2 linked regions of the Ovis aries genome follow. The protein of the gene in region 1 purifies or fractionates together with the protein of each later gene. This does not show direct contact. Links are inferred from orthologs where the notes say so. Each region holds a gene or a part of one and is shown in the gene's direction. Other genes may lie near its edges. The genes, in order: PAK1 and GIT2.

Region 1 (3,820 bases):
GCAGCGGTTGACCCTCTCCTGCTGCCATCTCTGGGAGGTTACTTCCACTGATGGCCCCACTGGGCCTGGGCACTGCTTACTCCTCCAGATGAAAGTGAGACCTCTTGGACCACATAGTTGCAGCCTGCCTTCCCTGGAAGAAACCCTGCTCTAATGAAGCTAGGGTGGGATGGATGGGAGAAATCCTGGGCCAGAACATCAGAGATCGCTATGTTTTTACACAAAATTCAGCAATTTTAAAATGATAAGCACTTCTCAGTAGTATATGTAGGCACCTGGAGGTTTCGGGAACATTCCAAGCATGTTCCCTTCTCAGAGTCTTTGTATCTCTTCCATTTGCCAGGAATATTCTTCTCCCAGAGGGTCTGATGGCTTGTTTTCTCATTTTGTTCTGGCCATTAAAGAGGCCTTTCCATGACTACTTATATCTAAGGTAATAATTCCTTACTTTCAATCAATCTCTACTCTCACATGTTTCTTACTACTACCTGGCAATTTAGTGATGAATTTTAAATATATCTTCTTCTAAAATGTAAGACATAGGACCAGGCACTTTATCTACAGTGAATCAGTGGATGAGTTGGAGTCACTTTTTAAAAAGAAGTTTGTGGTTATTAGCCATAATGATAATTTAATTGATTCCTTACATCTTCTTAACTGAGTGTTTTTATACCCACATCACGTCATTTCTTTCTCCATGTGGTCCCTTAAGGTAGGCAGAGAGCTTCTTGCCATCATTTCCATTTTATGGATGAGAACTTTGGCTTAAAGTGGGATACCCTTGGCAAAGGACACAGGGATAAGAAATAAAATTCTGCGAAAGAAACCTTTATCTCTTGATTCTGATAGTCGTTAATACAACCACCCAAAGCCATCACATGTGGAAACCAGAATGTGTTGCTACGGAAGGTGATGAAATCTCCTCCTCCACAGTTTTAGGAAGCAACACACTTGGTGTTTATAGTTTACAGTGGGTAGCCCTAGGGCCCCAAGAAGATGGAGAGGCTGCTGAGTTAACTTCATTCTCATTTTGGGTTCCTAGTTAAATTTTGTTGAGTGGAATATTAGGGGGAAAACAAATTAGAGTAGAAAAGTATCAAAATATGTGCTTTCACAGGGAAGGAGCTACTATTGGATTTTAGAACTGAAAGTGACTTAAGGGCACCCCTCTAATTATACCAGTCCTCACCTCCATATTCCTCAAGTAAATGAAACTTGAAGCTGAGAGGATGGATTCACTGCCTGTAGTCACTAAAACTAGTTGCTTATAAACGCCTGTCACTGGCAGTTTTTAAGTTACGTCCTGCACTGGAGCTCCTGTTAGAATCTATGAGGATGCCAGCTTTCCTTACTTAGTATGTCAAATGTGGTAAAGGCCACTCTCCCACACATAACTCTAGTATAATATTCAGCTAAATAAGTTCCTTCACTTATCCCACGTTGTTCTGACATTCCTCTCTCCAGCGGCCTCAAATGGCAGCAGAAGGGGAATTGTCTGTCCGTCTGTCTCCTGCATCAGATGGTGAGCTACTTTTAGGACTTGGACCATCTTTTTCATCTTTGTACATTTATATCAAAAACATCCATCACAGTATCTTACTGAGCACAAAGTAGATGGTCTGAAAATATCTGAAACTGTTGAATTATATCAATATCTACTAAAAGATCTCTATTGCTTCTCTGGTCCTATACTATAATCATTTAATCTCTATCAAAAATCTCATATTTTGGAGCTATTTTATCTCTTGAACATGTTTTATAAACAGTAATGGTATGATCTTTTTGCCTGGTCTTGCCCTGAAACCTGCCAGTCTTGGCCCAGCTTTGTTATAGTTTGCGTGGGAAAATCAAGTTTGTCAGATTATAGCAGATTCAATTAGTGGTGCTGGTAAGGGTCATTCCAAGACAGGGCAGAAGCTTAAGGATATAGGTAGCATCTGATCTGGGGAAAATCTCATTGCTTCTTGTGATGTTCGGTATCTGCAGGTTGAGGTGAGCGTACCTGATAGCATAAGGGATGCAGTATATTTTGGTAAAGAAGGAAAAGGAGAGGTAAAGACCTTTCAGAACTTCTATTTACCATATCAGAAAGGACTACAGAATTATAATGATAAACTTTGTAAAATTCTGAACTCTTGATCCCTTTCCTATATATTGTACTTTATCCTCTATTCAGCACAGAGTAAAATTCATAGAGAAGAAAGAAATATGAGCTTGTCCTCAGGGTTTGGTTTGGGGTAGGCAGGTAGAGAAGCTGTCAGTTGGTTTTCCCATCCACAGTTAGGCTTTGGGTAGGAGAAGGAAGCCCTCCAGGGACTGAAGGGGGAGTGGTAGCTAAAAGAAGGGGAGATGGCTGAGTTCCTGAGGCCAGCTCCAAAGGTGGAGAGATTGGAGGCTGATGTGTGTTTCAGAAAGAGTGTCAGGAGAAGGTTTCTTCTGGGAGATAGGTGGCCCTGGTAGTTTAAGTTCCGTGTTGGCTTAACCTAACGAACCTGGCTTTTGTCACTGTGCAGAATGTGAAGGCGGTGTCTGAGACCCCTGCAGTGCCACCAGTTTCAGAAGATGAAGATGATGATGATGATGCTACCCCACCTCCAGTGATTGCTCCACGCCCAGAGCACACAAAATCTGTGAGTCTTTGTGATTTATTAGAGTTTGGAGGTGGGGAGTAAGGGATGGGTGCCAAGGTCTAGAAGTTTAATACTCTGGTAGGGGTCCTGAGATTTTGGAGGTGGTGAAATAACCAAATTACCTTGATTGAAAGGTACTTTCTGTATGATTAAAGACAGGAAGTGGTGTATTTATTTTTATCATTGGTTTGCAGATAGTCCCAAGGTGTCCTGAATAGTTGGTCTTTGTACCAACTTAGCCCTACTTTCTTTACAGACAGGAAGATATACAGAATTAGTGTTACTTAGTGCAGAAGTAACATAAATTGTTCCTGTCTCCTAGGTAGCAACAAATTAGCCTGCTATAGATCTTTCTTCTCTGTTAAAGTCCAGTGTTCAGGCTCTTAAGACATTATTGATGATACTGAAAGACTCAAGAGAATTTGTAAAAACATTAGTGCTATTAATATCCTGGACATCAGGAGTGCATTTTGATGCTGGATATTGGCAGTAATTTTTATTTAACTTCCTTTGAGGTTGTTGCATTTCATAATAGCCATGGTCCCTTTGCCCTTACTTTGCATAATCTGCATTTTACATGTTTTAGCATCACTGAGCACTGATCTATCATTAGATGATACTACTAGTGTTTCTTTGTTTGGATTTTTTATTATGACAAAAACTTCAGAATGAAAAAATGATTTAGGGCTTAAACTCTGTGGTAATACAAAAAAGATTCTCTGAACTAGAGAATTCATGGAAGTATTCAAGCAGATGTTGGTTGACTGAGTATGGGAGATGCTGTGGAGACAATTCAAGGGGATTAGATGACCTTTTAGAATTATAATTTATAAGCAGAATCTGTGGAATCACCGCTTCTATAGGTTACAAACTCACTTTAAGGAAAATGAGCTTCAGAATCAGAGTTGTCCAGAGATGTCACATTGGAAAGGTTTTTTCGATTTGCAAGCATGTTCATTTAAAAAATTTTTTCCATTAAACCATGAATTCCTTACAAGTAGAGGAAATATATCTATATATATGTGTGTGTGTGTTTGCAGTGCTTAACATAGTTTTTAAAAGGTTTTAGAAAGGCAGTATTGAATGAACTGATAAATTTGATCTTCATAGCATTCCCCCCAAAAAGATACTGTTAATTCCTAATTTATAGAAGAAGAAGAAGATTTGGAGAGGTAAATTGATCTATCCAA
Region 2 (3,820 bases), on another chromosome or scaffold:
GTGAAGGTACAGTGATAAGGGTCCATTCATAAATTTGAAGTCTCAAAATGTACAACTTCCTTTGACTTGGTGGGTCCATCTCTAGGTGTTAGTTGAGGAGAATTAGAGATGTTGTCTGTGTGATACATATTACACTGGAAACAATAATAGAGCAATTTTTAGTTTCATATTTGAATAGGGCACACTTTTTTCAGGGACTACGGAATGATGTAATATAAAATAATTAATTTTTTGAAGAAGCTTTAGTATCATCCCAATTTTGTAAGGAAAACATTTATGTACATGCATATGTACAAATGAATATCTTTATTTATCCCCATTACTCCCAGATCTCATATTTGCCAGTTCACCTGTTCATTAAAATTCATTTATTACCTTGAGAATTCCCTGGCAGCCCAGTGGTTAGAACTCTGGGCTTTAACTGCCAAGGGAGCAGGTTCAATCCTTGGTTGGGGAACTAAGATTTCTGCAAGTTTCATGGGGCAGCAAAAAGATAAATAAATTAAAAATTATTACCTTAAAATCTTACAGCACTTTGATGGTAATTTGTGGATCTGTACAGTGTGGTAAAAAATTTGAGTCACCCAAAACACATGTTCCCATGTGAGACTGAGCAAGGCCATGCTCTTCCTTTTATTTCAGCTCTTATACTGTAAGCAGGTAGCCTTTTTGATATTTATTTAGTGCCACAGTTTTTCACATTTTTTGATAATTTCACTGTTTAAAGTGGTCCCCAAGTACAGTGCTGAAGAGCTGTATAGCATTCCTGAGCACACGAAGGCGGTGACATGTCTTACAGAAAATACATGTGTTAGATTAGCTTTGTTCAGGCCTGAGTTACAGTGCTGTTAACCATGAGTTCAATGTTGATGGATCAATGATATATATTCAAGATGTCTTTAAACAGAAACGCATGTGAAACAAGGTTATGTATTTATCAGTTGACAAAAATGTGACCAGATGTTTGCAGGAACCTAACTGTATTTCCACTCAGAACAGTGGTTCAGTATTTGCTGATTTGTTCTTCACAGCAACTTTATAGACCGTGACTGCTACAAATAGTAAAATTTACTGTCTGTATTTGTATATGCTTGGGAAAAGACTGGCAGAAAATAGAATGACATGTATCAATAGCTATGAATGACTACTCTTATCATTAGTTTCAATTTTTCTATATTGAGTCCTTACTACTTCTGTAATCTGATGGTATATATATATATTACATATTCATTTTGAAAACTAAAATTCCCTTTGAGTAAACATAATTTATCACCCAGATATTATCCTTCAAAATTTCCATAAACAGTGTTGGAAATTTGAGGTTTGCTTGAGTTGCCTGAAAGAGAGATGAGAGACTTGGATAATTTGCGAAATCTTTCATTCATAATGTGTCAGAGCTGATAGAACCATCGCTACTTCCCAGTAACCATATGCTCTTGGTCTGCATGGTCTGTATCCAGTGGGTCATTTTCTTTCTCTCTCTTTCTCCCTGGCGTTCAGTTAAGGAAAGGCCAACGTGCCTATTCAGTGGTCTCCTAGTTTCTAGGCTTACTTTAGCAGTTTTCTTTCTGTTTTGACTTGATGTTAAATCCTGTAAAAGAGTTACAATTGTAACTGAATTACAGTTAATCGTACTTTAGTTACAGCTTTATTTTCGTGATTTCGAGCTATACTGTTTCCTTGAATGATTACAGATTTGGGAACCTGCCACCTTACATGAGCAGCTCTTCCCTAGCCATCTAATTCGTGCCCATTTTTGGCAGGTATCTCAGATGGTTGCTTCACTCTCTCTATAGTTTTCAGTAGACTCTGTCCGGTTGATAACGTGCTCTGTTATCCCTTTTGGGGGTGAATAGAACCTTGCTATTTCTGTCATTTTTCTTCCAGTCTTTTAAATGGCTCATTTTTCTTTTAGGAAAAAAGAAGTTCTTTTCAAGCCTGAAGTAAAGTTATTTGCTTCTGTTGACAGACAATGTAGAACTGATACTGAAAACAATTAGTAACCAGCACAGTGTTGAGAGTCAGGACAATGACCAGCCAGACTACGACAGTGTGGCGTCAGACGAAGACACGGATCCGGAAGCCACTGCAAGCAAGGCCCACAGGCAAAAGGTAAGGTGGTGCATTGCACACAGAAAGTGAGCTTATGTTCTTTTTCAGATCTTTCCTCCTAAAAATTTGCCTGATTTGTAAAGCATTCGAGGGCTAGGCCTGGGAAAAGTGCTCTGGAGGTAAAATTGGGTTTTCTACTAGTTTGGCCCAAGCAAAGGTCAACAAGGTAAATATTTTAAAGTTTTAAAATAGGGGGTCCCTTGCCCCTGAGTCAGTTGCTGACTCACAGCCCGGCTGCAGTATTAACTTTATAAAACCTATGAGGAGGGACGGGTGGGTTTTACTCTTTCAACAAATGTTTACTTTTGTTGGGTATTACCCAAACTTCTCTGGATAATACTCTCCTGAATGAGGGCTGGTCTCTTTCCTCTGTGAGGCCGTCCTCACCAAGAGGAGAGGGAACCGCGGTTCGAGGGTCATAAGTGCAGACAGGAGCGGAGGGGTGGGAGCAGGCGATCCACAGACACAGCCTGTCACTGACAGGGAGTGTCAGGGGAGGCTGAGAAGGCCCGGGACGTGGGCACGTGGAAAGGCAGGGAGGGGTCAGACTGAGCGGAGGTGAGACAGGCATCTGGGGGACGTCTGGTCACGTGGAGAGGCAGCCTGAAAGGAGAGGGAGTCTGAGCTGCGGCAGAGGGCGGGGATCACACCGTGCAGGAGCGTGACCCCAGACTGAAGAGCTGAGACCTTGGCTGGCAGCGCAGAGCCCAGGAAGCTTTTAGGCAGGGCGGGAACACCATGTCCACCTTGTTGGGTCCTCTGTTTGGGGAGGACCGTTCTGGTGGGTCAGGAGCGGAGGAGAGGAACCCAGGCAGGGAGGTGCCGACAAGGTCCAAACAAGAGCTGACGCAGGCTCACCTCAGGGCCTCTTCAGCTGGGAGGGTCTGGATGGAAAACAAAAGTCACCGTTGCAGAGAGTGAGCCCGAGGCCAGGGCAGCAGGGGCCTGGCTGGCCTGCCTACCGCTGAATATCCCTGACCTGGCCCACAGGGGGCTCAGCAAACACTTGAGAATGGGCAAACAGGAAGACAGAAAAGGCAGGGCTTGGGGACAAGTTAGACATTGGAAGTGGGAAGGTAGATTTACCCGAGTTGTGTCCGGAGTTTTCCAGCTTACACAGCTGTGCGGGTCAGTGGTGCCACCGGCAGATGCAGGGAACATGGAGGGGATGGCAAGAGTCAGCTGTCCCATCTGAAACATCTCCGCCAGTCTCCCCGGAAGTGCTGAGTTCAGTCGAGTGAAGGCGGGTCTTGACTGGACCCTGCACGACAGGGTCCCTGCACTGGCTAGCCTCCCCCTCCTCTGGGCCTTGCACACCCACGCCCTCTAGCTGAGTCCTACCACAGGCTGGAGCGCTGTCCTCCAGACAGCCACCTGACTAGTGACCTCCCCTCCTGCAGGCTGTTGCTCATGTCCCCCCACCCAGCTGTCTAGTTAAAATGCACCCACGTCCACCTCTCTTTCAGCTCCCCAGCCCCTCACTCCTCCTCTGTTCTGTTTATTTTCCATAGCACTTATCACATTCCCCTATACTATGTAGTTATTTATTATTATTTTTCTCCCTCTCTCACTCAGTTGGGATGTAAACACCATGGAAGCAGGAATCTTTTTCTATTTTCTTTTCTTATGTAACCTAAGCCCCTAGAACACTGCCTGATGCTTAGTAAAAATCTGTCAGAATGAGTGAAATAATGAATCAAAAAAGAAA

The links.
Region 2: the proteins of PAK1 (region 1) and GIT2 purify together in Homo sapiens (affinity purification with mass spectrometry; 5 studies listed by BioGRID and IntAct, with this or other methods). This does not show direct contact. The link is inferred for Ovis aries from reciprocal best matches to the Homo sapiens genes PAK1 and GIT2.

What each region holds. Positions count from the first base shown.
Region 1 is NC_056074.1:16,221,543-16,225,362, forward strand, and holds part of PAK1 (serine/threonine-protein kinase PAK 1), read left to right. Parts: intron 1-2,513; coding exon 2,514-2,630; intron 2,631-3,820. UniProt on the Homo sapiens protein: Protein kinase involved in intracellular signaling pathways downstream of integrins and receptor-type kinases that plays an important role in cytoskeleton dynamics, in cell adhesion, migration, proliferation, apoptosis, mitosis, and in vesicle-mediated transport processes.
Region 2 is NC_056070.1:63,467,205-63,471,024, forward strand, and holds part of GIT2 (ARF GTPase-activating protein GIT2), read left to right. Parts: intron 1-1,969; coding exon 1,970-2,112; intron 2,113-3,820. UniProt on the Homo sapiens protein: GTPase-activating protein for ADP ribosylation factor family members, including ARF1.